Saccharomyces cerevisiae S288C: one gene and its partners. The protein of the gene in region 3 interacts with the protein of the main gene of each other region in a pairwise test. Each region holds a gene or a part of one and is shown on either strand. Other genes may lie near its edges.

Region 1 (9,434 bases), on a different chromosome or scaffold from region 3:
GAAAGATATCGACTAAATCCTTAACCTCCCAGTCGTCGAACAAATCGAGATCATTTATGTTTATTATTTTCATTTTGGGCACGACCGGCTCAGCCAGTACCTCATCGCCAATCGCGGGGGTCTGCAAATCGACAGCGTCAGCAATATCATCTGTCAAGGGATGAAGTTTAGAGGAGCTCAATGAAGAACAGTCGCTTTGAGCTTCCTCGGAGAACTTCCTCTTTATGCTCTGTGTTAAGTGGCCCTCATGTATGGGGCATTCGCCCGATAACGTCTTGGCGGAATTTGTTTTCCTAACTTGCGACATGACCGAGCTTAAGGACGGGGTCATCAAAGATGAGCGATTTTCGTTCAGCAGTTCGGAATCGTCTCGAGCCTTCAGTATTCTAGTCCTCTTGAAGCTATTCCTCTTGGTTAGTGTTCTAGTACGTTCAGCGCTTCCTTGACCATCGAACTGCGGCTTAGTGGAGTGGAAATAAATCTCATCGCTCACCGTCCTATTACTTGTGGCGGTCTTGTTCATGCTGGCGCTGGCTAACTTGTTATTCTTCTTATTAGTAGCGGTAGCGTAAAATGACTTGGGATAAAATACCTTTGATGAGTCGCTCCATGAGTGCAATGCGCCATCATCACGTATGCTTTTGATGAGGCAATGTTCATGCACATGAGCATCGTGCATTAGTGTGTGATTTGTGTTCACGTCCAGCAGCATTCTATAATTATGTCTTGTTGAAAGTGTTCTGTATGTTCGTGTCTATCCAAAGAAACAAGTAATTGAGAAAACTAGCCATCAAATACTTGTGAAGAAGCGAGTTTCCATTCTCTGTTTCACTCGTTTGGCGTTCTCACCATCCCACTTTTATTTCATTGGCTTTTTTAACACAATAAGGCGCCTTCAGCACCTTTGCCGCGCATTAAGGATGGCCACTGACGAAAAACCGGATAAAAAAAGACGAAAAAATGCCGTCTGACCCTAGTCAGGAGCCGCCTCATACACCCTAATTATTTTGGCGCTAAGCCCTAAGCATCATTATTACCCGACATGAAGCGACAGAAGCCCTACGGATGTGCGGCTGGAAAAGAAAGTTTCATGAAGAACCAGTTGATATATATTTTACTATATACTTTTGCTGTGTATTTCTATATGAGGCTAGTTGGTTGGTGGGAACTGGAAGTGAAAGTTCTGTTCTTTAGGGTGCAGCGGTTGCTGTTGCTGTTGCTGTTGCTGTTGCTGCTGTGGTTGGATTGATGCTTGTGATGTTTGTGGTGCCTGTGGTGCTTGTGGTACAGTTTTGCTGCCAGTTTGCTGCGAGTATGTAATTATGGGGTGAGCGGCATTTACATTAGGTGCTGGATTGATGGCTGGATTTGTTTTTTCGTAAGCGGCGATACTAGGCGTTGTGCTACTTGACATGTTTGCAAATGCATTATTAAACACTGGAGGTGAGACAGACTCGGTTAGTTCCCTTTTCTTTGCAAGCTCTTCGAGCCTTTTCTTTTCTTCCTTCATTTTTTTTCTTCTTTCACGGTCTTCCTGTTGTTTTCTTTGTTTGGCCCTTATTATTTTCAATTCAGGCACAAAAATGTTGCGCAGCTCAAGTTCCAAGTCCCTGATGCACCAAGCGCAGATAAAAGTGGAGCATTCAGACAGCGGTTTGCGTTTATCAGTAGGTCTTGAAGACTTGGTGCTGGGTTCAAGTGTGGATTGGGGTCTGCGAGAAGACCTTCTATTGCCGTGCGAATTTCCCATTATGATGACGCCAAAATCACGTTGCGACAGCGTGTGCTGTGGGGATTTTGTGGTTGAAGATATAAGCTCTATAATTTTTGGAGGTTGGCATTCCCAATGCTGCCACCTGTAACAATGATCACAGCATATCAATGGGCGGTTATTGAAGAGGTCAGTCTCCGTGTCTTCGGTGATAATCATGGGCGCCAGCTCTGGTTCGCCCGGACATTGGAAAACAGAATCTTGGTTGTCGGGCTCTTGCTGCGGAGTAAAGATCCCGTAGTTGGCAAGCTCATCTAGCTCTTCCTTTGTTATGCAGAAGTCACTAGGCAATTCAGGGACGTCTCCCGTCTGTAGTGGCCCAACAGTTCCAGGAATTGGTGGTTCCACCGGGATTATACTAGATTGAAAGTTAGGGCCGTGATCAAGAACTCCGATATCGATTTCATTTAAGGGATTGTCCTCCTCCCTGCCCAAAGACGTTTCAAAAAACGGTGTACCAGAACCACTTCTATCTTTGAGCTCGTTACGCCTGGTCAATTTTTCATCTCTATAATCTTGATCGTACAATTGCCACAATTGGTTCCAAAGAAGATCTTTTATCTTTTTGATTTCCTTCGACACTAGCTTGTTTCTGTGCCTTATAAATTGTTCTCTTTCATCTAGTTTTTCAAACCACTCACTTTCCAAGTCTTTTTTCTTGTTTTCTTCCTCTTTCGCTACCAGTCTCGAAGATCTTTTCCTCCTTGTCATTAGCTCCGCAATTGCTCTCTCCTTTTCTCTGTTGGCCAAAAGTTTTGCCGAATATAGTCTATGTTCGGCATACACCGGTATTAAGTTAGTTATGAACTCATCTATGGCTTTCGAACTTTTATTCTCTGACCAGTATTCTAGCATGGACCCCCAATTAGTTGTAATCACATCATAATCAATTGTAATCGATTGAAGATATGCATCGATATCGTGAGAGTACTCGAGATGAATAAGCTCCACTGAATCAGGAATGTCTGGGTCGCTTTCTTTTATAGTACAGTTCTGTAGTTTTATTGGGATATTCAGAGTTTGAGAGACTTGGGAGGAAGAGCCTTCTTTTACTCTGTGAATGGTTTTCTTTACGAGTACACCAACATTGGGTAAGGCAAACAAGCTCTTCATTTCCTCCCCTCCACTATTATCATCATCCAGTATAACTTCACTAAACGTAAACAGATGCAAGTTATTCGCTAAGTAGTTTTTGAAGATCATATTTTTCATTTCAATTAATTTTATGATACTGTAAATGATGTCGAATTGGCGTGCAATTTCAAGCTCCAAAAAAGGTAAGTCCGTAACCAAATCTGAATACGCGCTCGAGTTTTGCAAGTGATGGTTAACTATAACATTCCAATCTTTCAATTGCCCGCTTTTATTTCCCGCTAATTGATGCAATAATTGCAATCTAATTCTGTCGTACAAATTTTGCGATCCTTCATCTACGTCGACTTCATCATTGTAATAGTTCGAGTCCTTCCCGTCTATCTTCGAAAATACGTCAGTTACAAATACACCTTCATCGAATTTGATATTCTTCCACAAGCATTTGGTAGAGCTACCGCCATACTGGTCAGTATTAAATGTCGTTGTAGTATATGATTCGCAGACATTGGAAAGCCAAGCCATCACATACTGGAAGTGCCAGTGATTGGCCAAGTCCGCGATCTTCTCATCTAATATTTCAGAATACGGCAGCTGGTGCTTGTTCAATTGGGCTATTATGTCTTCGGAGACATATTCTTTCCAGTCTTCACTATCCGCATTCGCAGCGCCGGCAGGCATGCTCGCTCCTACATTTCTTGTACCCCTAGTTCTCTTCGTTCTCATCGATCGCTGATTCACCGCTTTGTATCTATATATGATTAGCCAGTGTGTATGAGTAAAATAGAGCAATTGATCTAGTTTCTTAGTCGTGTCACTATTGAATAAATAAATGTTAATGTTGCTGGAAAGGAAGAATTATGTCACTTTTGACGCTCTCGCATTCCGTGTGCGGTGATAGCGGTAACTTGGTCTAGCAACGAAAATTTAAAAAGGTTGGAAAAGGAAAAGAAGAGCTCAAGTGGACCTAGAAGTCCTGCTTTGCCACCGTTTAAGCAAGGAATAGAGCACGCCGTTGACACAAATTCACAGTCAAGGACGGGCCACGAGAACTTTATTACAAAATATACTGCATTACACGAAATTCAGCGGAACTCTGAGCGCGAACAGCATTAGGTACCGAGAAACGCTTTTCAAAAGAAATTTCTAAAAGTTTTATTGTGCCATTAATATCGCGGCTCAATTGTTAAGTATTTCACTATGCCTAATCCGAATACAGCAGATTACTTGGTGAATCCAAATTTCAGGACCAGTAAGGGCGGATCTTTATCGCCGACGCCAGAAGCTTTCAACGACACGCGAGTTGCTGCACCAGCCACTCTTCGCATGATGGGCAAGCAATCTGGACCAAGAAATGACCAGCAACAAGCACCACTGATGCCTCCTGCAGATATCAAACAGGGCAAGGAACAGGCAGCTCAGAGACAAAATGATGCATCGAGGCCTAATGGCGCCGTGGAATTAAGGCAATTTCATAGAAGATCTTTGGGAGATTGGGAGTTCCTTGAAACGGTTGGCGCAGGCTCTATGGGTAAAGTTAAATTGGTCAAGCATCGTCAAACAAAGGAAATTTGTGTAATAAAGATTGTTAATAGGGCTTCCAAGGCTTATCTCCATAAACAGCACTCTTTACCTTCCCCAAAGAATGAGAGTGAGATATTAGAAAGACAAAAGCGGTTAGAAAAAGAAATTGCGAGGGATAAAAGGACTGTTAGGGAAGCCTCTTTGGGCCAAATCCTTTACCATCCTCATATCTGTCGTTTATTTGAAATGTGCACTATGTCAAACCATTTTTATATGCTTTTTGAATACGTTTCCGGTGGACAGCTGTTAGATTATATTATTCAGCATGGCTCATTAAAGGAACACCATGCGAGGAAATTTGCCAGAGGTATAGCTAGTGCGCTGCAATACTTACATGCCAATAATATTGTTCATCGAGATCTGAAAATTGAGAATATAATGATATCTAGTTCAGGTGAAATTAAGATCATTGATTTTGGTCTTTCCAACATTTTTGATTATAGGAAACAATTACATACGTTTTGTGGTTCCTTGTACTTTGCAGCACCAGAACTATTAAAAGCGCAGCCATACACAGGACCTGAGGTAGATATTTGGTCGTTTGGTATTGTTCTTTATGTCTTGGTCTGCGGTAAAGTACCATTTGATGATGAGAACTCAAGCATTTTACATGAAAAAATAAAAAAAGGTAAAGTAGACTATCCTTCACACTTATCCATTGAAGTTATATCTTTATTAACCAGGATGATTGTTGTCGACCCATTAAGAAGAGCAACATTAAAGAATGTCGTTGAGCATCCATGGATGAACAGAGGATACGATTTTAAGGCTCCATCATATGTTCCTAATCGTGTTCCATTAACCCCTGAAATGATAGATAGCCAAGTTCTGAAGGAAATGTATCGCCTAGAATTTATTGACGATATTGAAGATACAAGAAGATCATTGATCCGATTAGTAACTGAAAAGGAATACATCCAACTTTCCCAAGAATACTGGGACAAATTATCCAACGCCAAGGGGTTGAGTTCAAGTTTAAATAATAACTACCTAAATTCAACGGCACAACAAACCTTAATACAAAATCATATTACAAGTAATCCATCGCAAAGTGGTTATAATGAACCAGATAGTAATTTTGAAGATCCTACTTTAGCATATCATCCATTACTATCAATATATCACTTGGTTTCAGAAATGGTTGCACGGAAATTAGCGAAGTTGCAAAGAAGGCAAGCATTGGCCCTGCAAGCGCAAGCTCAGCAAAGGCAACAACAGCAACAAGTAGCACTTGGCACTAAGGTCGCCTTAAATAATAACTCCCCGGATATTATGACCAAAATGAGGAGCCCTCAGAAAGAAGTAGTACCTAATCCTGGTATTTTTCAAGTGCCGGCAATTGGAACATCGGGAACCTCAAACAACACTAATACCTCAAACAAACCTCCACTGCATGTAATGGTTCCTCCTAAACTAACAATACCGGAACAAGCGCATACTTCTCCAACATCTAGGAAGAGTTCCGACATTCATACGGAATTAAATGGTGTTTTGAAATCAACACCAGTCCCCGTGTCTGGCGAATATCAGCAACGTTCTGCTTCACCCGTAGTAGGTGAACATCAGGAAAAGAATACAATAGGCGGCATATTCAGAAGAATATCACAAAGTGGACAATCTCAGCATCCCACACGGCAACAGGAACCTCTTCCAGAAAGAGAACCTCCAACATATATGTCAAAATCAAATGAAATTTCCATCAAAGTACCGAAAAGCCATAGTCGTACTATATCAGATTATATTCCTAGCGCTAGAAGATATCCATCTTACGTGCCAAATTCTGTTGATGTAAAACAGAAACCCGCTAAAAACACTACCATAGCACCTCCTATAAGGTCAGTATCACAAAAGCAAAACAGTGATCTTCCAGCTTTACCTCAGAACGCCGAACTAATTGTTCAAAAACAACGGCAAAAACTATTACAGGAAAATCTCGACAAATTACAAATTAATGATAATGATAACAACAATGTGAACGCTGTAGTCGATGGTATCAATAATGATAATAGTGACCATTATCTCTCCGTTCCGAAGGGTCGTAAGTTACATCCTAGTGCAAGGGCTAAATCGGTGGGGCATGCTCGTCGTGAATCTTTGAAATTTACTAGGCCGCCTATACCAGCAGCCCTTCCGCCATCAGATATGACAAACGATAACGGCTTTTTGGGAGAGGCAAACAAGGAGAGATACAATCCTGTTAGCAGTAACTTTTCGACCGTTCCTGAAGATTCTACCACATACAGTAACGATACTAACAATAGACTGACTTCGGTGTATTCTCAGGAGCTTACTGAGAAGCAAATTTTGGAGGAAGCTTCAAAGGCACCCCCCGGGTCTATGCCATCAATTGATTATCCAAAGTCAATGTTTTTGAAGGGTTTTTTCTCTGTACAAACAACCTCCTCTAAACCATTGCCTATTGTTCGTCACAATATCATATCTGTTTTAACAAGAATGAATATTGATTTCAAAGAAGTGAAAGGCGGGTTCATATGTGTCCAACAAAGGCCATCTATTGAGACTGCAGCTGTCCCTGTTATAACCACTACTGGCGTGGGTTTGGATTCCGGAAAGGCGATGGATCTGCAAAATAGTTTAGACAGTCAATTATCATCCAGTTACCATAGTACAGCGTCCTCAGCATCAAGAAATAGTTCGATAAAACGCCAAGGTTCTTATAAGAGGGGCCAGAATAATATACCACTAACACCTTTAGCGACCAATACACATCAAAGAAATTCATCTATCCCAATGTCTCCAAACTACGGAAACCAAAGTAATGGTACATCAGGGGAACTATCTTCCATGTCATTAGATTATGTTCAACAACAGGATGATATTTTAACAACATCAAGAGCCCAAAATATAAATAACGTAAATGGTCAAACAGAGCAAACCAATACTTCTGGTATAAAAGAAAGGCCTCCTATTAAATTTGAGATTCACATTGTAAAGGTTCGTATCGTCGGCCTAGCAGGTGTACATTTCAAAAAGGTTTCTGGTAATACGTGGCTATATAAAGAATTGGCATCGTATATTTTAAAAGAATTAAACCTATAGATACGTTGTTCTTACTAAATATTTCAACGTGTGTCTTTCAATTTTTATTATCTAATATTTATCTTTTTTTAATATTATAGTATAATTTATTTAAGCTGAGATCTGCTTTCTTTAATCTTTCATATGATGAAATAATAGTTCTACATAAATCTATAAGAATAATAAATAAAGTAAAACAACTGCAAAAAACATCGATGTCATCCAGGATCCTTGAAAGATTTCACTCTGGAGAAGAAAAAAGATTTCTCATTTCTCAACGAACAGTTAGATGCATTCCCTTCCTTATCCACTACAATTGAACTTAGCCATTTCAACCGTTGATATCTCTTATTGCCTTGATTCTTGATTTGGAATTCTTCGATAAACGTATACTTTTCATCTGACCTTGTTATCTTTAAATGACCAAAATCATAATCAAATCCGAGGCTCCAATAACACATATGACTATGCCTGGGTTTGTTCTCTTTGGAGAAGTGCTTCACGACAGCGCTAGGTTCATCTGTAGAAAGTAATCTCAAACATTGGCCGTTCTCATAAAATCTGAAATACCTGTAATAGGTGATCATGTGAACTGGCTTTAAAAGAGATAACGAACTTTCTGCATTGGAACCGTATCTTACATAATTTACTACACTGATGTAAACACCTTCGAATTTAATATATGGCCTTTCCCTTAACATACGATAATCATCACCCCGCCATATTTCCTTTTCAAAGGTATTTATATCGGTGATTCCGTTAAGATCCATTGCCATTTTGTCGTATATTTGCTTAGAATATATGTACTTCGCGAAAGTTTTAAATGGCACAGAATCGTGGAAGCAAAGCTTGCTAAAGGTGGAACAAGTCATCGACAAATTCACCCAAGATTCACCAGACATTAATATAACTTTTTTAATAATTCTCAGTAAAATGTCGTCAGGCAAGATTTCCAGAATCCAGCAGGGTTGAAGTTCAGCATTTTCTTCAACAGATAAGTCATCTTTACCGGTTTCATTTTGTTCATCTGGAGCATCAGTAGTCATTGATAATCCCGATAGTTTTTTGTGCAGCATCCACTCATCAAGTATTTTTTTTCTGTACAGTGATTCCACATTATCATGGATTTTCAATGCACTTCGATAGAAGTTTATAGCATCTGACATTGACCCATCCTTCTCTTTCAGTACACCTTTTTCCCAAATAGCAATAGCCTCTTTAGCCCTAGGGTCCTTTTCATAATCTACTATCATTTGCTCCTTGAGTTTAGCTTATGGAACACATGTGTCGTCGCCAAAGATGATGGGGAATGTTTGCTTTTATCTTGCTCAGTCGATTTCGCTATCTAGGAACTACAATCCTTTTTTTTGTCATTTGGAAGGCTCTTTAAAATTCCGAATCGATAAGTTCGGAGGTGGGAAAGGATAGCGGTATATTCCTTCCCAAATAAAAAGGCTACAAACACATTACATAAAGAATATTTGTTCAAGTAAACATATCCTCTTCACTCAAGATTACTTCGACAAACCATCATTGGTGTTTCCACCAATCAGCATATCAATCTCATTCAATAAAGTAAAGTCAAAATTGTACTCTAAGGCAAAATCGTTACCGTGAGATAGAGTCCCTAATAAATCCATAGTTTCTGAATTATGCAAAGCATCTTCAGAGTTTTCTATGAATTTTCTAGCAAGTTCGTAATTCAGGGTAGGCGCACTTAAAAAATTTAAGAAGTCTTGTTTTCTATCCTTTTTAATCAAGTTGGACTTCATGCATTGGATGGCTAAAATCGCAGAATAAATCATGTAAATTGTGGCCTTCTCAAACGTCTTAAATTTATTTTTCCAAACTTTTAAAAGATAATACAGTTCATCAACATAACCTTCAACCAATTCCCGGCTTTGTTTGATTTCGTATATGAAAGGTTTATTATAGGAAATTAGCACGA
Region 2 (7,933 bases), on a different chromosome or scaffold from region 3:
TTTTTACCGCACCATGGACCCTCTATGGATCTATTGAATGAACAAAGAGCGAACTTGAAAAGTCTTCTGAATTTATTAAACGAAACACTGGAGAAAAATACTTCCGAGAGAGCTTCGGATCTTCATATGATATCGTTGTTCAATTTGAATAAACTAATGCTTGGAGATCCCAAGAAAAATAATTCAGAACGCGATAAAAGAACTGAAAAGCTTAAAAAGATTTTGCTGGATAGTCTTGCAGAACCATTCTTTGAGCACTATAATTTTATTGGAGATAATCCGATCGCAGATACAGATGAACTAAAGGAGGAAATTGATGAATTTACAGGTTCTGGAGATACGACAGCGATAACAGATATACGGCCCCAACAGGACTATGGCCGCATATTGAGGACATTCACTTCTACCAAAAATTCCGCCCCACAGGCAATTTTTACATGTAGTCAGGAAGACCCTTGGCAATTCAGAGCTGCGAATGATCTAGCGTGCTTAGTATTCGGTATCTCACAGAATGCCATTCGCGCTTTAACCTTGATGGATTTAATTCACACCGATAGCAGAAATTTTGTTTTACACAAATTACTTTCTACGGAGGGTCAAGAAATGGTTTTCACAGGCGAAATCATTGGTATAGTTCAACCAGAAACACTCAGCTCATCCAAAGTAGTATGGGCATCGTTTTGGGCAAAAAGGAAAAACGGCTTATTAGTTTGTGTTTTCGAAAAGGTTCCTTGCGATTATGTTGATGTACTTTTGAACCTGGATGATTTTGGGGCCGAGAATATTGTAGACAAATGTGAGTTATTATCAGATGGACCCACATTGTCTTCCTCTTCTACATTATCGCTACCTAAGATGGCTTCTTCACCAACTGGTAGTAAATTAGAGTATTCGTTGGAGAGGAAAATCCTGGAAAAGAGTTATACTAAGCCTACTTCAACAGAGAATCGCAACGGCGATGAAAACCAACTTGATGGAGATAGTCATTCTGAACCATCGCTGTCATCATCGCCAGTAAGGTCGAAGAAAAGTGTAAAGTTCGCAAATGATATTAAAGACGTCAAGAGTATAAGCCAATCGTTAGCCAAATTAATGGATGATGTGAGGAATGGGGTTGTATTTGATCCCGATGACGACCTTTTGCCTATGCCCATCAAAGTTTGCAACCACATTAATGAAACAAGATATTTTACTCTAAATCATCTATCTTATAATATCCCATGCGCGGTTTCCTCCACTGTGTTGGAGGATGAGCTGAAATTAAAGATTCACAGTTTACCTTACCAGGCGGGTTTGTTTATTGTGGATTCGCATACTTTAGATATTGTAAGTTCCAATAAATCTATTTTAAAAAACATGTTTGGTTATCATTTTGCTGAGCTGGTGGGAAAATCCATTACTGAAATAATTCCTTCTTTCCCAAAATTCCTCCAATTTATAAATGACAAATATCCTGCGTTGGATATCACACTCCATAAAAATAAAGGTTTGGTATTAACAGAACATTTTTTTAGGAAAATTCAGGCAGAGATTATGGGTGATCGTAAAAGCTTTTATACGTCGGTGGGTATTGATGGCCTTCATAGGGATGGCTGTGAAATCAAAATTGATTTCCAGCTGCGTGTCATGAATTCTAAAGTGATTTTGCTTTGGGTTACACATTCGAGAGACGTGGTATTTGAAGAATATAATACAAATCCATCTCAATTGAAGATGCTGAAGGAGAGTGAATTAAGTTTAATGAGCAGTGCAAGTAGTTCTGCCAGCTCTTCCAAAAAATCTTCGTCTAGGATATCCACCGGGACATTAAAGGACATGAGTAATCTGTCAACATATGAGGATTTGGCCCACCGAACGAATAAGCTTAAGTATGAAATCGGAGATGATTCTAGAGCACATTCTCAATCTACTTTGTCCGAGCAGGAACAAGTTCCCCTGGAAAACGATAAGGACAGTGGCGAGATGATGCTTGCAGACCCCGAAATGAAGCACAAGTTAGAATTGGCCAGAATTTACTCAAGAGATAAATCTCAATTTGTGAAAGAAGGAAATTTTAAAGTTGACGAAAATTTGATTATTAGCAAAATTTCACTTTCCCCAAGCACTGAATCCTTAGCAGATTCTAAAAGTTCTGGGAAAGGGCTTTCTCCACTTGAAGAGGAAAAGCTAATTGACGAAAACGCTACAGAAAACGGATTAGCGGGATCACCTAAAGACGAAGACGGAATCATAATGACTAACAAGCGAGGAAACCAACCTGTTAGTACTTTCCTACGCACCCCCGAAAAGAACATCGGTGCTCAAAAGCATGTTAAGAAGTTTTCGGACTTCGTAAGTCTGCAAAAAATGGGTGAAGGTGCATATGGTAAGGTCAACCTATGTATTCATAAGAAGAATAGGTATATTGTGGTGATTAAGATGATTTTTAAAGAAAGAATCCTTGTAGATACATGGGTTAGAGATAGGAAATTAGGCACTATACCTTCTGAGATCCAAATTATGGCCACGTTGAACAAAAAACCACATGAGAATATTTTACGGTTACTGGATTTTTTTGAAGACGACGATTACTATTATATCGAAACTCCCGTACATGGTGAAACAGGATGTATAGATCTTTTCGATCTAATTGAATTTAAAACCAACATGACCGAATTTGAAGCAAAATTGATATTCAAGCAGGTTGTAGCGGGAATAAAACATCTACACGACCAGGGTATTGTTCACAGAGATATCAAGGATGAGAATGTTATCGTAGATTCTAAAGGCTTTGTTAAGATTATTGATTTTGGATCTGCTGCGTATGTCAAAAGCGGACCATTTGATGTTTTTGTTGGGACAATAGATTATGCTGCCCCTGAAGTCTTAGGAGGAAACCCTTATGAGGGCCAACCACAGGATATTTGGGCTATTGGTATTCTATTGTATACGGTGGTCTTCAAAGAAAACCCCTTCTACAATATAGATGAAATATTAGAAGGCGACCTGAAATTCAATAATGCAGAGGAAGTTAGTGAAGATTGCATTGAGTTAATCAAGAGTATTTTGAACCGTTGCGTACCGAAGAGACCCACCATTGACGACATAAATAACGACAAATGGTTGGTTATTTGAAGGATTAATGATCATTCTAGGACATTAGTAATTGGAAAAGAAAATGCAAAAAAATATCCAGTAGAAACAATGCTTGGTATGTCGTTCTTCTTACTTTCTTCAGTAATGAGTTGGTAGTTTTCTCTATTTAAATATGAATAAATCAATATGTACTTTCTTTCTTTAATCAAAATGTTAATATGATAAAAATACAGCATCCAAAGCAGTTAATCAAGACTTAAATATAAAAAATTTACATATTTAGAAAACAAAGATAGGGTAAATATTGAAATTACATAGTAAACCATACCTTAAAAGCAGAAATACTGATACCACATGAACTATTGATCAATACTACTGCTATTCTCTTCCTAATGCAAAGAGCTTATTACCATTATTAAATCACTACAGACGATAATACCCGGAATGCCCTTTTTGCAGGGAAAGCGAAAAAGGTGAAAGAGTTAACAGGAGAAAGTGTTAGGGAACTAAGTTACGAAGGAAGGCAGATAGCAACAATACTAACGTGGAACTTATTTCGACGACTATAACAACTGGTATCTGATTATCGAAGAATAATTGAGTGGTCAGAAAGGAGCGAAATATGTCTGGAGCAAGATCAACAACGGCAGGTGCCGTGCCCTCGGCAGCAACAACATCAACAACATCAACAACGTCAAACTCTAAGGACTCAGACTCTAACGAGTCATTATATCCCTTGGCTCTGCTTATGGATGAGTTAAAACATGATGATATTGCTAATAGGGTAGAAGCCATGAAAAAACTAGATACCATCGCGTTGGCACTCGGTCCCGAAAGAACAAGAAACGAGTTGATTCCCTTTTTAACGGAAGTTGCACAAGATGATGAAGATGAGGTGTTTGCCGTTTTAGCCGAACAGTTAGGAAAATTTGTCCCCTACATTGGCGGTCCTCAATACGCCACAATCCTATTACCAGTTTTGGAAATTTTGGCATCTGCAGAAGAAACTTTGGTTAGAGAAAAGGCCGTAGATTCTCTGAATAACGTGGCCCAAGAACTTTCTCAAGAACAATTATTTAGTGACTTCGTCCCTTTAATTGAACATTTAGCTACTGCAGATTGGTTTTCTTCAAAAGTTTCTGCTTGTGGTCTTTTCAAGTCTGTTATTGTTAGAATCAAAGATGATTCATTGAGAAAGAATATCCTGGCTTTATACTTACAACTCGCTCAAGATGATACTCCAATGGTGAAAAGGGCCGTCGGTAAAAACCTGCCCATCTTGATCGATCTGTTGACTCAAAATTTGGGATTATCTACAGACGAAGATTGGGATTACATTTCTAACATTTTCCAGAAAATCATTAACGATAATCAAGATTCTGTCAAGTTTCTGGCAGTTGATTGTTTAATTTCCATCTTGAAATTTTTTAACGCTAAAGGTGATGAGTCTCACACTCAAGATTTATTGAACTCTGCTGTCAAATTAATTGGTGACGAAGCGTGGAGGGTACGTTACATGGCTGCCGATAGATTTTCAGATTTAGCCTCGCAATTCAGTTCCAACCAAGCATATATCGATGAATTAGTACAACCATTTTTGAACCTTTGTGAGGACAACGAGGGAGATGTTAGGGAAGCTGTGGCTAAACAAGTTTCTGGGTTTGCCAAGTTCCTAAATGATCCTTCAATTATATTGAATAAGATCTTACCTGCTGTGCAGAATTTGAGTATGGACGAAAGTGAAACAGTGAGATCTGCTTTGGCTTCTAAGATTACAAATATTGTATTACTGTTGAATAAAGATCAAGTCATTAACAATTTTCTTCCGATTTTACTGAATATGCTAAGAGATGAGTTCCCTGACGTTCGTTTAAATATCATTGCCAGCTTGAAGGTTGTCAATGACGTAATAGGAATTGAGCTGCTATCAGACTCTTTGTTACCTGCCATAACAGAATTAGCCAAGGACGTGAATTGGAGAGTTAGAATGGCTATAATTGAGTACATACCTATCTTGGCAGAACAATTAGGTATGCAATTTTTTGACCAACAGTTAAGCGATTTATGTCTTTCATGGTTGTGGGATACTGTTTATTCTATCAGAGAAGCCGCAGTGAATAATTTAAAAAGGTTAACGGAAATATTTGGCTCTGATTGGTGTCGTGATGAAATTATTTCAAGACTGCTCAAATTTGATCTACAATTACTGGAAAATTTTGTCTCGAGGTTCACAATACTCTCTGCTCTAACCACTTTGGTGCCCGTGGTATCGTTAGATGTCGTTACTGAGCAACTATTACCATTCATTTCTCACTTGGCTGATGACGGTGTTCCAAATATTAGGTTTAATGTGGCCAAATCCTACGCTGTGATAGTGAAGGTTTTAATTAAGGACGAGGCCAAATATGATGCATTAATTAAGAACACAATTTTACCCTCATTGCAAACGCTGTGTCAAGACGAAGATGTTGATGTAAAATACTTCGCTAAGAAAAGTTTGGCAGAATGTCAAGAACTTTTAAAAAATTGATACTAGTTCAAATATATACATACATACACATATGTACACTTGAATGAATAAAAAGTATACATATTAACAACTAGGCCTGCTTTCTTTTCTTTTCTTTTTTTTTTTTTTTACCACACTTAGTCCTCTACTTTAACAGAAATATCATTTTCCAGTTTGACCATAGTTTCTTCAACTGTTTTCTCCTCGTGTTTAACATTGATTTCCGCCTCCACGTTCAGTTCACGTTTTCCTTCCAGGTATTTCACCCACTTTGGATAACTCATGATATTTTGCTGGATTTCCTTGTACAATTGAGACTGCAAATCCCAATCTAAGGAGCTTCTGGGATCATCCGGTGGCAAGAATTGTAACATGTCACCAAGGTTCCTCGATTTAGTGATTATTTGTCCAAATCCAACCAGCAACCCATTTATTTCTGTCCAAAGCCCCTTAGGCAGCCAATTTTGTAATTGAGTTCTTGTCTGATCTGGAGTCTTGCATTTCTGCGCATCTACCCATTTCCAAAGCTTGGTCAATCTATCCACGTGAACGTCAACGCAGATACCTTCAATCTTGCCCCATGCCTTTTGTAATGTTAGATAAGCCATTTTGGGCCCTACACCGGGCAGGCCCAATAGCTCATTAATCGTAGCTGGAACATCACTCGAAAACTGATCTTGAAGGATTTTGCAGGTTGACAAAATATACTTGGCCTTCCTTGTGTGGAACCCAACTGAATGAATCAATTCGTCTAATTTGGTCTCATTGATTTGTAAAACGGCCTCTAATGTCATACCTTCTTCGCTGTGCAGTTCGTCTATACAATACCGCATTATGTTAAGCATTGCCATTGCGGTAACTTCATCTTTTGTTTGCGATGATAGCATCACCCCAAGAAGGACCTGTAATCTGTAGTCCCTCGGTGATATCTGCTCTTTCGAGATACCACACTTAGAGGCAACCGTTACAGGAATGGATGATCCACCAATTATATCGACGGGGGCTAGAATCTTAGATCTCAGTACTCGCATTCTAGCGTATGTTTCTTGAAACTTGTAAGGGACTTTCGTCGAGGCCGGAGTGACAAGGATCGAGGGGTCCAATGGTGTGGCCCACCTGTTGGGCACATTGCCGTTTCTAACCACAATCCATTCGAAGTACTGCTTATTTGGCAGCGATTTAACCCAGTCGATATCCACGGGTTGAGGGACAACCTCTTCTTGTTTGATTTTGGTCCTTTTCTCCGGTAGGAGTTCTGATTCTGGCCCAGTTTCAGTCTTTACCAGCGGTCTTTTCCTCAGAATTGCCATAGATGAGTATTTACTGATCTTTTGCATATTTTTTTTTTTTTTGGGCTATAAAGTATATATAGATACAAATATATGATGAATCATTAAAGAGGAGGTTATTACTAAGTGAAAGAAAAAGAAAAAAAAAAAGATCAAAACCAAACTTCGTATTCGAGCCTAAAAAACAGAATATAATGTTATAATACTAATAGAAGCAACAGGAGCACCACTATCAGCACAAGAATAATCACGCAGTTGCCGTTATCCTTGAACCTAGAATTGTTAAAGCCATGCATGGACCGAGAGGCCCTGTTCAAATTCCTACCATTATTATCAATCAGGTTTTCTAAATCAACCAGCAGCGAGTCGTTCTGAGAAACGATCTCATTATTAAGGTCCAGCGAAATGTCATGAGTCCTCCCAATAGACTGAGACAGTGCGCCCAAGTGGGAATCTTGCTCTAACAACTGCTGTTGCTGGTTAATAAATAGTTCTTGGTTGGAAACCATGGGTTGTGGTGGCTGTGGCTGTGACTGTGACTGTAACTGCGATTGCAATGGTTCATCCTTGTATGGAGTATGCGTCGAAGGCAGCGGCGACTCCTCGTCTTGTTCATCGTCATCCTTATACATGACCGTAAGCTCGTCATCATTCTTGAACCGCACTTTTTTCAAAGACTCTTTGGACACCTCATCAGTATTTCTTGCCACCTGCTGTTGGAACCTATACAACTCCTTGTCAACCGCCGTATCAGGAATTTTGTCCAGTATGGTATTGTATCGGGATATTAGTTCATCATTGGGCGCACACTTCTGCAATAACTCCAATATTGAGCCCAATTGCCGTTTCAAAGTAACGTTATCGTTTGAGGTCGGGGCGAGCTTCAACACCGACACTAGCCTTGTTCTTTCTTCGACCAGATCAGAGAGCTGGTCCAGTTCATAACCCAGCTTCAACACATCCATACCGTGTGTGCTTACGCATCTATTTGCTGTCGTGAGATCTGTCTCTATGCTTTATTCGTTTTCCATTGTAAAGTCTCAGCATTTATTTCTTGTTC
Region 3 (8,512 bases):
CAGCTTCAATGATGAAACACCCAAAAATAAACGTGAAGATGCAGAAGAATTCACATTTAACGATGACACAGAATATGACAATCATTCCTTTCAGCCAACACCGAAACTTAATAATGGATCTGGGACGTTTGATGATGTGGAATTAGACAATGATAGTGGTGAACCGCACACTAACTACGATGGTATGAAAAGATTCCGGATGGGTACAAAAAGGAATAAAAAAGGAAACCCAATAATGGGAAGATCTAAGACCTTGAAATGGGCTAGGAAGAACATTCCAAACCCATTTGAAGACTTTACGAAGGATGATATTGACCCTGGTGCCATAAATCGTGCGCAAGAACTAAGGACTGTGTATTACAATATGCCCTTACCAAAAGATATGATAGATGAAGAAGGCAACCCCATTATGCAGTATCCTCGTAATAAAATCAGAACTACCAAATATACCCCGTTAACATTCTTACCAAAAAACATTCTATTTCAGTTTCATAATTTCGCCAACGTTTATTTCTTAGTTTTAATAATTTTAGGTGCATTTCAAATTTTTGGTGTCACGAACCCTGGTTTAAGTGCGGTTCCGTTAGTTGTCATTGTTATAATCACTGCGATCAAGGATGCTATTGAAGACTCAAGAAGAACCGTCCTAGATTTAGAGGTGAATAATACCAAGACACATATTTTAGAAGGTGTTGAGAACGAAAATGTCTCAACCGATAATATTTCATTGTGGAGAAGGTTTAAGAAAGCAAACTCTAGACTCCTTTTCAAGTTTATACAATATTGTAAAGAACATTTAACTGAAGAGGGCAAAAAGAAGAGAATGCAGAGAAAGCGTCATGAACTAAGAGTACAAAAAACTGTTGGAACGAGTGGACCCAGATCCTCTCTAGACTCCATTGACAGTTACAGAGTATCTGCAGATTATGGCCGTCCTTCATTGGATTATGATAATTTGGAACAAGGGGCCGGTGAAGCCAATATAGTTGATAGATCCCTACCACCCAGAACTGATTGTAAATTTGCCAAGAATTATTGGAAAGGTGTCAAGGTTGGTGATATTGTTCGTATCCATAACAATGATGAAATCCCTGCTGACATTATCTTACTTTCAACGTCGGATACAGATGGTGCCTGCTACGTAGAAACTAAAAATTTGGATGGTGAAACAAACTTAAAGGTACGCCAATCCTTGAAGTGTACCAATACTATAAGAACGTCAAAAGATATTGCTAGAACAAAATTCTGGATCGAAAGTGAAGGGCCCCACTCAAATTTGTACACTTATCAAGGTAATATGAAATGGAGAAATCTTGCAGATGGCGAGATACGAAATGAGCCAATTACTATTAATAACGTTCTGCTTCGTGGTTGCACTCTTAGAAATACTAAGTGGGCAATGGGTGTTGTAATGTTTACCGGTGGTGACACAAAAATCATGTTAAACTCTGGCATTACACCCACCAAGAAGTCCAGGATTTCAAGAGAACTAAACTTCTCTGTGGTGATAAATTTCGTGCTACTTTTCATCTTATGTTTTGTTTCTGGTATTGCAAATGGTGTATATTACGACAAAAAAGGCAGATCACGGTTTTCCTATGAATTTGGAACAATTGCTGGGTCAGCGGCGACAAACGGTTTCGTCTCATTTTGGGTTGCTGTTATTCTTTACCAATCTTTAGTCCCAATCTCTTTGTACATTTCTGTGGAGATCATCAAAACTGCACAAGCGGCCTTCATTTACGGAGACGTTTTACTCTACAATGCCAAATTGGATTATCCTTGTACACCAAAATCCTGGAATATTTCTGACGATTTAGGTCAAGTGGAATATATATTTTCTGATAAAACAGGTACATTAACTCAAAATGTAATGGAGTTTAAAAAATGTACTATCAATGGTGTTTCATATGGAAGAGCTTACACCGAAGCGTTAGCGGGATTAAGAAAAAGACAAGGTATCGACGTCGAAACCGAAGGTAGGCGTGAGAAGGCCGAAATTGCCAAGGATAGGGATACAATGATCGATGAACTGAGAGCTTTATCAGGAAATTCACAATTTTATCCCGAAGAAGTTACCTTTGTATCAAAGGAGTTCGTTCGCGATTTGAAAGGGGCTAGTGGTGAAGTACAACAAAGATGCTGTGAGCACTTTATGTTAGCATTAGCTTTATGTCACTCCGTCCTTGTAGAAGCAAACCCGGACAATCCAAAAAAACTGGATTTAAAAGCTCAATCTCCAGACGAAGCAGCGTTAGTAGCCACAGCTAGAGATGTAGGATTCAGTTTTGTTGGAAAAACCAAAAAAGGGTTGATAATTGAAATGCAAGGTATTCAAAAAGAATTTGAGATTCTAAATATTTTGGAGTTTAATTCATCGAGAAAAAGAATGTCCTGTATTGTCAAAATTCCGGGTCTGAACCCAGGGGACGAGCCTAGAGCACTTTTAATTTGTAAAGGTGCAGATTCCATTATATACTCAAGATTAAGTCGCCAGAGTGGTAGCAATAGTGAAGCTATTTTGGAAAAAACTGCTTTGCATTTAGAGCAGTACGCTACTGAAGGTTTAAGAACGTTATGCATAGCTCAAAGGGAGTTAAGTTGGTCTGAATACGAAAAATGGAACGAAAAGTACGATATTGCTGCTGCATCATTAGCAAACAGAGAGGATGAATTAGAAGTTGTTGCAGATTCCATTGAACGCGAATTGATATTATTGGGCGGTACAGCTATCGAAGATCGTTTACAAGATGGTGTTCCGGATTGTATAGAGTTGCTTGCAGAGGCAGGAATTAAATTATGGGTTCTTACGGGTGATAAAGTTGAAACAGCTATAAACATTGGATTTTCTTGCAACCTTTTGAATAATGAAATGGAATTGTTAGTTATTAAAACAACTGGTGATGACGTGAAAGAATTCGGATCAGAACCAAGTGAAATTGTGGATGCTTTACTCTCCAAATACTTGAAGGAGTATTTCAACTTAACCGGTTCAGAAGAAGAGATTTTTGAAGCTAAAAAGGATCACGAATTTCCGAAGGGTAATTACGCCATCGTTATCGATGGTGATGCTTTGAAATTGGCGCTATATGGTGAAGATATAAGAAGAAAGTTTCTTTTACTCTGCAAGAATTGTAGAGCTGTCTTATGCTGTAGAGTATCTCCATCTCAAAAAGCAGCCGTTGTTAAGTTAGTCAAGGATTCTCTAGATGTCATGACACTAGCCATCGGCGATGGTTCCAACGACGTCGCCATGATTCAATCTGCGGATGTTGGTATTGGTATTGCCGGTGAAGAAGGTCGACAAGCTGTTATGTGCTCAGACTACGCCATTGGACAATTCAGATATTTGGCTAGATTGGTCCTCGTTCACGGTAGGTGGTCTTATAAGAGACTGGCAGAAATGATTCCTGAGTTTTTTTACAAAAACATGATTTTTGCTTTGGCATTGTTCTGGTATGGTATCTATAATGATTTTGATGGGTCTTACCTGTATGAATACACATACATGATGTTCTATAATTTGGCATTTACATCCCTACCAGTCATCTTCTTAGGTATTCTGGACCAGGACGTGAATGACACAATATCATTAGTGGTCCCTCAGTTATACCGTGTTGGAATTTTAAGGAAAGAATGGAACCAAAGAAAGTTCTTATGGTATATGTTGGACGGATTATATCAGTCTATTATCTGTTTTTTTTTCCCTTACTTGGTTTATCACAAAAATATGATAGTTACGAGCAATGGGTTAGGATTGGATCATCGTTATTTTGTCGGTGTTTATGTGACCACTATTGCTGTAATTTCGTGTAACACATATGTTTTATTACACCAATATAGATGGGATTGGTTTAGTGGATTATTCATTGCACTGTCTTGCCTCGTAGTTTTTGCATGGACGGGAATATGGTCTTCTGCGATAGCTAGTAGAGAATTTTTCAAAGCTGCAGCGCGTATCTATGGAGCACCTTCATTTTGGGCTGTTTTCTTTGTTGCCGTGCTGTTCTGCTTACTGCCCCGTTTCACATATGACAGTTTTCAAAAATTTTTCTACCCAACTGATGTGGAAATAGTAAGAGAGATGTGGCAACATGGCCATTTCGATCATTATCCTCCTGGTTACGATCCAACAGATCCCAACAGACCCAAGGTCACAAAAGCTGGGCAACACGGAGAGAAGATTATAGAAGGCATAGCACTTTCCGACAACTTAGGAGGATCGAACTATTCAAGGGATAGTGTTGTCACAGAGGAGATTCCAATGACTTTCATGCACGGTGAAGATGGAAGTCCTAGCGGATATCAGAAGCAAGAAACCTGGATGACTTCACCCAAGGAAACACAAGATCTTCTTCAATCGCCCCAATTTCAGCAGGCCCAAACGTTCGGAAGAGGCCCATCAACCAACGTCAGGTCATCCTTGGACCGCACAAGAGAACAGATGATCGCCACTAACCAACTAGATAACCGCTACTCTGTGGAAAGAGCGAGAACATCTCTAGATCTACCAGGCGTAACTAACGCAGCCTCCTTAATCGGAACACAACAGAACAATTAATAATGATATCCGAACCATAGCTGATGGAACTCCGCTTTTCACTGTATATATAATATTACATAATATTACTGGATAAGCCTTAGAAGCCTTAGAAGCCTTAGAAGCCTTGGAATTCATGCATACTACAGCGTTAACTCTTTCTTTTAGCAAGTTTTAGTAGCGGACGTGTGGGTTTCTTTGTTCTATAATTAACACTCCCGGTTAACCCGGATCGCTATTATTCAAGGACGCACAATGGTGGGCTAATTTTTTCTTCCGATGGAAAACTGACGCCAGCACTTTCCAGCGCTGGGAACTCTCCACTAACTGGCAAAAAAATTGATTAAGGTCATGATCAAAGGAATTTTTGAAATGTTGTAAAGTAGAGTTAAGAATTAATCAAGCCGTGATACGTATGTTTTTGACTAGGTGAGAGACTATATTTATCAAAAATAGTTTTTTATACTAACAGAAAGTTTATTATATCATAGAAATCCTAGGCCTATTGTTATTATTTGCGTGAAAAAAGGTTCATGCCTAGTTATTCAGGATATTAATCAGGCATAGTCATAGTTTTGTAATACACGTCTTTCACTCCTATTTCCGGTTAACATTCGCTAATATCCATCAAATTATTGACTTTTTTTTCAGTGGATTTGTTGTTAATAAAGGAAACAATCAGATCAGCCATTTAGGGAAGTCTTTTAAGAAAGCTCAGAAGGAGATCTAAGACAAGAAGCAAGGCAGTCTTGATTTATCGCTCAAAACCAATAGCACATGCCGAAGAATAGTCACCACCATCGTTCCAGTTCGGTTAATTCCACAAAGAGTCGTTCTACGGAATCTACGAATAAATGGAAAATTCCGCACTATTATCGCAGATCCGCTAGCGGCAGCACACAAGCTTCGCCGGACAGGAACTCCTCAACAGGCTCATGTAGCACTCCAGTATTACCTACTATGAATGTTATGTCTAGCCCGAAAAAAGTTTTGCTAGAGGATCCCAGAGACAACCATACTAAGGCGAAGAAGAGTAGTAGAAAGAAATCAGGTGAAATGGTCTTCGTCAATTATACTGTACAGGACACGGCTAACGAAAATGATACTGACTTGCAAACCCAGCCGGTTTCTGTGCCAGCACCAAAGGCGAAATTAAAGAAGAAATCCTCCAAAAGGAGAATGCTGAAGATATTTGGATCGTCAAAGAACGAACACATAGAGGACATCGTTGAAGAGCAACCAATGGTGCTTCAAATGGATTCAGAATCTAAACCCCTTTCGGGAACCCCTATCTCAGAAAGCGGAATCGACGCCTCGTCACTAACAACCAAAAGATCTTATAACTCGTTCTTAAAACACAATAGGCTAAACGGTAAAACTCCGTTCTCTGGAAACTTGTCCTTTCCATCATTAAACATGATGGGTAACACTACTGATCTGCCTATTGACAATAACGATTTTTGTTCCGAGAAAGAAGTCGTTCCGAAATCAACTCATGATCCTTCACTAGCAAAACCGCCATCAAGGTTCACTGAAAGCGAAACAAATTCTACTCCCAACTTATCAAGTATACCTCTCATGAACACAAAAAATACAAGATTGAAGTACAATAAAGTGGCGCCTCAGAGTTCAGACCGACAAAAGTCACAGGAAAGTGGGCTATATCATTCTACCGAATCATTCAACTTCAAAGATCAAAACTACAGTAACAATAAATCCTCTTTAAGTCTGAACTCCGATTTAAGTACACCCCACTTTGCAAAGCATTCACCTGATTCACCAAGAACTTCAAGATCTTTCAACTGCGGAGACTCACAAAGTAAAGTTAAATTACCGGAAGAAAATGACGCTTCTATTGCATTTAGTAAGATGTTTACTAGAAAACGAGCCAACACTGGCGGGTCCACGTGTTCGCTAGCCTCACCCACTATTGCACAAACTATTCAGCAATCAAATATAAAAGTTAATAAATTGCCAACTCAGCGAACCACTTCAGTTGGCTCATTATCATCCATGTCAAATCGTTATTCACCAATAAGAGTTGCATCGCCAGGAAGAGCAAGATCCGCAACTCGTGGGTCTTCCCTTTATAGATTATCCAGAGACCTTAATTCTTTACCAAGCGTCACTGATCTACCAGAAATGGATAGTACAACCCCAGTTAACGAAATATTCTTGGATGGCCAACCACAGCATAAAAGTGGCAGTGTCAAAGGAGGGCATAGGAAGAAACAAGAATCTATCTCTGATGCTCAAAGAATTCAACATTCTAATTCGTACATTACAACACCTTCATCTTCTCTGGTGACTCCTCCTTACTACATGACAGGTTACACATTACCAAGTTCTGCATCTGCTTCTTCAACTCCAAATGTGCTTGAAACACACAATATGAACTTTGTTCCAAGTACCAGTACTGTTACAAGTTATCGCCCATCTAGCAATTTTTCCTCATTTGACAAAGAATACAGTAACGAAAACGACGCTAGTGGGGAATTCTCTGCTTTCAATACTCCAATGGAGAATATACCGGCACTAAAAGGTATACCTAGATCCACGTTAGAAGAAAATGAAGAAGAGGATGTCCTAGTACAAGATATTCCGAATACGGCACACTTCCAAAGAAGGGATATTATGGGGATGGATACTCACAGAAAGGATGACAGTTTAGATTTTAACTCTTTGATGCCACACGGTAGTACAACTAGTAGCAGCATCGTAGATTCTGTTATGACGAACTCAATATCCACTACAACAAGCAACGCGACCGGAAACTACTTTCAAGATCAAGATAAGTATACATTGGTAAATACGGGATTGGGATTGAGTGATGCAAACCTCGATCATTTTATTAGATCTCAATGGAAACACGCTTCTCGATCAGAATCCAATAATAATACCGGAAATCGCGTTTCTTACAGTGGCTCAACACCAAACAATGTTGATACAACAAAGACTAATTTGCAAGTGTATACCGAGTTCGATTTTGAAAACCCAGAGTCGTTTTTCCATGAGCAATCGAAGCTACTAGGTGAGATGGGCCACAGCAATAACAACAGCAACAGCGCCATCAACATGAATGAACCCAAGTCTGCGGATACATACATTGGAAATATATCTCCGGATACTTCAGCAACTGTTTCATTAGGCGACCTGATGGGCTCAAACGTTTCAAACAACAGTGAAAGAAATTTTTACGATGGTCATACTTTCGTTCCACAGTATCAGGCGAACTCATCTGTGGAAAACTCAAATAATCAAAATGCAGCACCAATTGCAAATAACGACATTGATAATAATTTACAGTCTTTTTATTTTGATAATAGCAACTAAAAAAGGAATGAAAAAAAAAAAAAAAAGTTCAAAAATAGTAACAGATATCTTTCGAAAAAGTTAAAAACTGGTAAAAAATTTTGAATAGAGTATATAAAAACTAATAAATATGTTTAGTTATCATACACCATAGAATAACTACTAGAGATATTATTTCATTTTCGTTTTCATTTTTTTTATTTTTTTCTTTTCAATAAGGTAACAGAAAGTTATTTATGCATTCTTGTTCTACATGTCTTATGTATACTAATAAGCTACTACAGGTATTTTGGTAGTATGGCTTTTAAATGAGTTATTAATTCTTGATCAGTCCCTGTAGGATTATCAAACTGCCACCTAATCGCTTCGTTATTAATTTTACCCAGCCATGGACCTGGCTTCATTTGAAGTAGTTTTGCCATTTGTTTTCCGTCCACTATTGGTTTTAGTTCATGACAATTATTCAAATTATTGTCAAATATGTAAGAATAAAATTCATTGTAATTTTGGAAAAGTAATTCAATTTTTTTAGTTTCAAGCTTGGGAATCTTTAAAAATGCATCTGATAGAGATGCAAAATGTGCTGTTTCCCATTCGCCATTAAAGTTCCGTAGAAATATACCGATTTCGGATTTTTTTAGCTGGGAACGATCTGCAAAC
Region 4 (7,165 bases), on a different chromosome or scaffold from region 3:
TATAGTAGTAATGTCCAGTCCAGCTAAACCTGCATGTTGTCTTGCAGATTTATCGTTTTTTTGGTGAGACTAATGAATTTCTGATTATAGTAGAAAATTCGACTGCTGAGAACCATAGATGATTTGGTAGACCACTGCAATGAAGCAGTGTGCGACAATCGTTTAATAAAGTACGATTTAATCGTTCAGCGACACCGTGTGCTCTAGAATCTGCCGTGGTTGTATAGCATGCAGTAATACCTCTGTTCGTAAAGAACTTATGAAGAGTTTTGTTAGTGTACTCGGAGCCACGATCCATCTGGATAACTAGAACGCGAGCATTGAATTGGTTCTTAATAAATGCTAATATCGATGTAAAAACATTGAGGATAGATTCTTCACGACGGTCGTGTAATGGGTACACCCATTGGAATCTGGTTTTCTCATCTGTAAACGATATAAAGTAAGAAGGTGCACTTTTCGGTAAGTGATGTACAGGACCAAATATATCGGTGTGCAAGTACTGAAAAGGCTCATATGATTCTTGGTACTTTAGTCGTGATCCTTTGACATGTCTATGTTTCGTGCTTTTGCCGATTAGACAGTCAGGACATTGATATGTGCTAGCGTTAGACCATTCAATATCCGATTCCTTCAAATATGTAACTGCATTCTTCTTAAGAGACTTCTGAATACTTCGGAAGTTAGCATGTCCAAGCATTCGATGTATTAACGGATATGGATATTTATTTACGCTTTTGCTTTTGTTGACGTTGTTTATTGTTAGCTTTGAAATGTGCGAAGGAATTAGGTATTTTTTAGATAACCAGTAAAAGTCTCCATGTTTGACTATGGGAGCTAGTACTGTACCATCCGATCTTTCTAAAGTGTTTCTGGTAAAGCAGGCAGTAATATTTTGATTAGCCAGCTCACTCAAACTTAATAGATCATAGGCTATGTTTGGTGTGTGTAGTGCTTTTATTGATGTTTTGGTGCCGTTCTGAAAGTTGAAGTGAAGATTACCAATGGCATTTATAGGAATGTCTTGTTTTTGAGCATCGACTATGTTTATTTCAGAATTGGGTGTTGCATGGTGTAAATAATGGGCTGATCTGACAAGCGTTTGCGAAGCTCCTGAATCAATAAGAAGGTGATCAGGTAGTTCGTCATTCGAGTCTATTGTGTGTGTTGGCTTAGATTCTTTCTGTTGCTGGCCTAAGACTAAGTTCGTCGTCATCGCTTAAGTATTGTGATGAAACGGTTGATTCATTAATGTGATCATTGTTCACCCTTGAGAATTTACTAGATGTAGCAATATTGTGAGCTTTTGCTGCTCTTGGTTTTGAACTATTTGTTCTATGATAATTACGAGTTGTAACCTTTGTGTTAGTCGTGTTTGGAGATGTGCGAGAAACATTTTTGTATTCGCTGTGTTGTTTGTATTGGGACGGTTTATTTAGATTCATGATTTTATTTTCGTCATATATTAATTGAATTTCAGCGAATAATTGGGAAAGTTTCATGTTCGTTTTGGTACGATATTGATTACGTAGGTATTTGAAGTCACCGGATAGACCTTTAAGTATTAGTTGACAGGCCAATCTGTCGCTAACATTGATATTGTTTTCTTTTAGCCTCTGAATGATCGTACTGACTGTAATTTCAAATGTATCAGCAGATGTACTTCCGTCGTACTCAAGGTTGGCAAGAGCTATCCAATCCTTTAATTCTTGATTGTTAGTTTGCATTTTGGACACACTTTTACAAAGGACTGTAAGGATGTCAGCATAATTAATTTCTAAAATTTGTTTTACCCATGTTGGCAATAAATGAAATGGGGCAAATGCTTGGAAGGTATTGTATATATACGCATGTTCTTCATAAGTCATTTGTCTTTTGATTTCACCCTGGTCATTTGGAATGATGTCACCGAGATTAGAGTTCTTCAAAAATCTGATGTAAAATTTAACCCATGTAGAAAAGTTTTCTTCTGATGTTAAAGTGTGTGGTGGTAAGACGTTATTTCCCACCTTTGTCTTAGCTTGAGGTATTTCAGAGTGTTGATTTTTTAAATCGATTGGATCAGGTGAGGAAGTACTCAGTGGTGGGATATACTGTGGCAACGGATAGTGTGGGTCCGGTTGATAATACGCAGGTGACGTTTGATAATGTGAACACGTCATCATAGATGGTTGTTGGTAATGTGCCCAGTTAGAGGCCATAGCTTTGTTTGGGGTCATCATGCCGTGCTGTTGGTACTGTCCATTCTGTGGAGGTGGTACTGAAGCAGGTTGAGGAGAGACATGATGATGGTTCTCTGGAACAGCTGATGTCCCAGGTGTTGTCTCTTGTTGAGAATTAACCTTAGTGGAATCTCTATCAAATTCCGGTAAATTGGAAGCTGAAACGGCTAACGGATCTTGATTTTATGGGACTTCCTTAGAAGTAACCGAAGCATAGGCGCTACCATGAAGAGAATGTGGATTTTGATGTAATTGTTGGGATTCCATTTTTTATAAGGCGATAATATTAGGTATGTAGATATACTAGAAGTTCTCCTCGAGGATTTAGGAATCCATAAAAGGGAATCTGCAATTCTACACAATTCTATAAATATTATTATCATCATTTTATATGTTAATATTCATTGATCCTATTACATTATCAATCCTTGCGTTTCAGCTTCCACTAATTTAGATGACTATTTTTCATCATTTGCGTCATCTTCTAACACCGTATATGATAATATACTAGTAACGTAAATACTAGTTAGTAGATGATAGTTGATTTTTATTCCAACAGTATTTATGTTTTGTCATTCTTTTCTACATAATCTTGAAACTAGGTAGATCTACAATTGAAAAGTAAATACTAACATTATTTACTAAATTTAAGTTAGAAATCGGCACGAAAAAAATTTGACAGATTACGAGAGTCCAGCCAAAATATGAGTATATTACTATTTCCCCTTGGTGAAAGAAATGAAAGATGTTATTTTTTACCGGCTTAGTAATACTGAGCTACTTACTTGGGGGAAAGAAAGATTGGCTACTTATTATGTATGAAGCCTCAGATTACCTTGAATTCCTCAACCGTTTGAGCAGTATGCTCTTCAAATTCGAACTTTTTGAACATCTTTCCTCCACATTCCTGATTTTTTCACATTCAAAACGCGCTGTGAAGCTGTTAGAAATTTACAGATCGAGGCATATTTCTATATATAATGTATTTTTATTAAGACACCCAAAGTACTTCCAATCTGTAGATATTGCACTTTATCTGACCAGAAGCCAGACTTGAACAGTTACATATTGTGCTTTGCAGTCGTTAAATTTCCCGAACTGTTTTCGTATTTTTTTTTCTTTTCCTCTTTTCCACTGGATCAGATCAAAAGCCGACTAAAAATTTGGCAATTTAAAGAAAGCATCTTTTAAAGATAGAAAAGGTTATTTCAACAAAAAAGTATCTTTTCTTCACTTTTCTTTCAACAATTCAAAGATGGCTAGAACCATAACTTTTGATATCCCTTCCCAATATAAACTCGTAGATTTAATAGGTGAGGGAGCGTACGGAACAGTATGTTCAGCAATTCATAAGCCTTCCGGCATAAAGGTAGCTATCAAGAAAATACAACCGTTTAGCAAAAAATTGTTTGTTACAAGAACTATACGTGAGATCAAGCTTTTACGGTATTTCCATGAACACGAAAACATAATAAGTATATTGGATAAAGTAAGGCCAGTATCCATAGACAAACTAAACGCTGTTTATTTAGTCGAAGAGTTGATGGAAACCGATTTACAAAAAGTAATTAATAATCAGAATAGCGGGTTTTCCACTTTAAGTGATGACCATGTTCAATACTTTACATACCAAATCCTCAGAGCCTTAAAGTCTATTCACAGTGCACAAGTTATCCATAGAGACATAAAGCCATCAAACCTGTTACTAAATTCCAATTGTGATCTCAAAGTCTGCGATTTTGGACTAGCGAGGTGTTTAGCTAGCAGTAGCGATTCAAGAGAAACATTGGTAGGATTCATGACGGAGTACGTCGCAACGCGATGGTACAGGGCACCCGAGATAATGCTAACTTTTCAAGAGTACACAACTGCGATGGATATATGGTCATGCGGATGCATTTTGGCTGAAATGGTCTCCGGGAAGCCTTTGTTCCCAGGCAGAGACTATCATCATCAATTATGGCTAATTCTAGAAGTCTTGGGAACTCCATCTTTCGAAGACTTTAATCAGATCAAATCCAAGAGGGCTAAAGAGTATATAGCAAACTTACCTATGAGGCCACCCTTGCCATGGGAGACCGTCTGGTCAAAGACCGATCTGAATCCAGATATGATAGATTTACTAGACAAAATGCTTCAATTCAATCCTGACAAAAGAATAAGCGCAGCAGAAGCTTTAAGACACCCTTACCTGGCAATGTACCATGACCCAAGTGATGAGCCGGAATATCCTCCACTTAATTTGGATGATGAATTTTGGAAACTGGATAACAAGATAATGCGTCCGGAAGAGGAGGAAGAAGTGCCCATAGAAATGCTCAAAGACATGCTTTACGATGAACTAATGAAGACCATGGAATAGTATTCACAAGAACATTTCTGCCATACTTCTAAAATTTCCCTATATTCAGCTTAGCAGTGACACGTTGTGGTCTGTAGGTCAATATGTAAGTAAGAAACTTCAACTCACATATGCACGATGCATGCCAATGGAAAAATGCAAGGAACGAAATGGCGCCACGGCAACAAGTTTTTTTTTTTCGCCAGCAGAAGTACACGAAATGCGGCTTCATGAGCCTCTTCACTGCTTTGCCTAAACGGGAAATGCAGAGAAAAACCAGCCATCGCGTGTGCTTGGAGAGCTGACGCGACTGTAATCAAAGAGGCGATATCAACACCTTTTATCCAGCACTATTCAACAGTGAATGGGCTCCCAAGTAAGTCTTGGCATTGTGCTTTCTATTCTTAAGTATTAAGTAGAAGTTTTGTTTACTGGGTTTGTTTATTCCTGGCTAGATGTTCGCATTCGTTTTCTAGTTGACCATATTTACCAAATATTCACAACTAATACCCAGCCAAGGTAGTCTAAAAGCTAATTTCTCTAAAAGGGAGAAAGTTGGTGATTTTTTATCTCGCATTATTATATATGCAAGAATAGTTAAGGTATAGTTATAAAGTTTTATCTTAATTGCCACATACGTACATTGACACGTAGAAGGACTCCATTATTTTTTTCATTCTAGCATACTATTATTCCTTGTAACGTCCCAGAGTATTCCATTTAATTGTCCTCCATTTCTTAACGGTGACGAAGGATCACCATACAACAACTACTAAAGATTATAGTACACTCTCACCTTGCAACTATTTATCTGACATTTGCCTTACTTTTATCTCCAGCTTCCCCTCGATTTTATTTTTCAATTTGATTTCTAAAGCTTTTTGCTTAGGCATACCAAACCATCCACTCATTTAACACCTTATTTTTTTTTTCGAAGACAGCATCCAACTTTATACGTTCACTACCTTTTTTTTTACAACAATTTCATTCTTCATCCTATGAAATGACGAAAATAACCAGAGATGTTTCGATAACGACAGAAAATTCAAAATCCACATCTGGATCGGCAACGGCTTCATCCGCATCTTTACCTGAGAACGACCACCCAATATTCCATCAACCGCGAGCAAGAATAAGATCTGGTTCGCTGTTCATCGAAGGATCTGATTCATTTCCATCATCAGAAGTGAAGTCATACAATGTTTATATTGATGATAGCAAGTATAGTGAAATCCTCAAAGGAGATACAAATTCAAGTAGTACTGATGGTAAACAAGTCTTTGAAGATGCTAGAGATGACAATTTCCATCAGGAATCACATAGAGATCTAGAGGATTCAATTTTAGATTTAGTACGACGAGATCCAGAAGTAGCAGCATTCCCTTTACCTCCGCCAAATTCAAATGAGAGGAACAGAAATTCCTCAAACGGGTCTTCCGCTGAAACTAACCTAAATGGACACAGCAGCAGCGGTACCATCTCTACTTCGGTGCTGTTGAATATGGGTTCGGCAGAAAAGCACGCTGGGACGACCAGAGGAGATCATATGGAATCATCTTCAATGAAATCCTTCGAGAAACTGGGAACCAGACCTTCTTCTTTATTCTATCCACCACCCGAAGGAACTGCGCCGTACCAGGGACCAAGGGCTACCGTCTCCGGAAATAAGTCTACAAGGCAAACACAAGGTACATACTCATTTCCTTCTATGCGGTATGGTGTAGATCTTGTTTCTCCTGTGGAAGGGGCTGTTGATGTAGCAAAAAGCAGAGTTCCTAACAGCACGCTAAATGGTACTTTTCCCGATAAAGCGTTTATCCCACATGAATTTCAAATTCCTAAAAAGGCCTGGAACAGAATACCAGCGAATAAGTCCACTAGCCTCAAAACCCCAAGAAACCATTCCCTATTAATTGACATATTAAAGCCTTTTGAAGCAGCTGACCTTGCTAATGACCAGCGAAGTTCTTCCGCTGTTTTAAAAAATACAGTGCATTCTAATGGGCAGTATAATCCAACTAATGAAACCTCTGGAACTCGAATGCAAGATCAAAGGCAGAAGAATACCAACGAAATTGATTTAGAGAAAATTCCTAATCCTCAAGTCCCTCTTGGTATCGCAATGGACACCATGCGTAGTCCAAACCAACTACACGAAAAGGAATACGAAAGTAATATAGAAGCTGGTTTAGCTTCTGGGGTCGGAAAAGGTGACAATAGTATTAAGCAACATCAATATAAAAAAATTCCTCAAGAAATTGATCGAGATCAGCAATTAAGTTTTCAAATGGAAACAATGCCCATTCAAAGAATAGATTCCTCCTCCATACGTTCATTTGATTCCCGAATATATGGCTTCTCCGAGATTTATAGTATTCCAAGGGTTATAACTACACTGTGCATCTGCCTTTTTGTTCCGCCCTTATTCTTTTTCTTTTCAATCAATGGAAATAATGGCGTTTCAAATTATAGATTAATGAGAATGATAATGAATTATGAACATAGAATCGGCCTCCTCAAAGGGTTTGAATGGGACATTGACGTACAATGGTTCAGGACATTGTGCTTTGTATTAGGATGTATAGAGATGTTAGCTATCTTT

What was found.
Region 1: the proteins of BCK2 (region 3) and KIN2 interact in binary tests that used the Saccharomyces cerevisiae proteins (3 or more experiments, as listed by UniProt).
Region 2: the proteins of BCK2 (region 3) and TPD3 interact in a two-hybrid assay, tested with the Saccharomyces cerevisiae proteins (one study listed by BioGRID).
Region 4: the proteins of BCK2 (region 3) and KSS1 interact in binary tests that used the Saccharomyces cerevisiae proteins (3 or more experiments, as listed by UniProt).

Annotation. Positions count from the first base shown.
Region 1 is NC_001144.5:328,527-337,960, forward strand, and holds KIN2 (serine/threonine protein kinase KIN2), read left to right. Parts: upstream 1-4,063; coding exon 4,064-7,507; downstream 7,508-9,434. Other genes in the region: GIS3 (Gis3p), read right to left, coding at 1-712; IOC2 (Ioc2p), read right to left, coding at 1,151-3,589; SCF ubiquitin ligase complex subunit HRT3, read right to left, coding at 7,705-8,739; CHA4 (Cha4p), read right to left, coding at 9,001-9,434.
Region 2 is NC_001133.9:121,182-129,114, forward strand, and holds TPD3 (protein phosphatase 2A structural subunit TPD3), read left to right. Parts: upstream 1-3,697; coding exon 3,698-5,605; downstream 5,606-7,933. Other genes in the region: serine/threonine protein kinase PSK1, read left to right, coding at 1-3,114; bifunctional N-glycosylase/AP lyase NTG1, read right to left, coding at 5,722-6,921; SYN8 (syntaxin), read right to left, coding at 7,071-7,838. UniProt on the Saccharomyces cerevisiae protein: Phosphatase 2A affects a variety of biological processes in the cell such as transcription, cell cycle progression and cellular morphogenesis, and provides an initial identification of critical substrates for this phosphatase.
Region 3 is NC_001137.3:512,899-521,410, forward strand, and holds BCK2 (Bck2p), read left to right. Parts: upstream 1-5,317; coding exon 5,318-7,873; downstream 7,874-8,512. Other genes in the region: aminophospholipid-translocating P4-type ATPase DNF1, read left to right, coding at 1-4,561; CCA1 (tRNA adenylyltransferase), read right to left, coding at 8,131-8,512. UniProt on the Saccharomyces cerevisiae protein: Dosage dependent suppressor of PKC1 deletion and MPK1 deletion. Involved in cell lysis.
Region 4 is NC_001139.9:571,921-579,085, forward strand, and holds KSS1 (mitogen-activated serine/threonine-protein kinase KSS1), read left to right. Parts: upstream 1-3,477; coding exon 3,478-4,584; downstream 4,585-7,165. Other genes in the region: YGR039W (uncharacterized protein), read left to right, coding at 2,968-3,279; BUD9 (Bud9p), read left to right, coding at 5,567-7,165. UniProt on the Saccharomyces cerevisiae protein: Together with closely related FUS3, KSS1 is the final kinase in the signal transduction cascade regulating activation/repression of the mating and filamentation pathways, induced by pheromone and nitrogen/carbon limitation, respectively.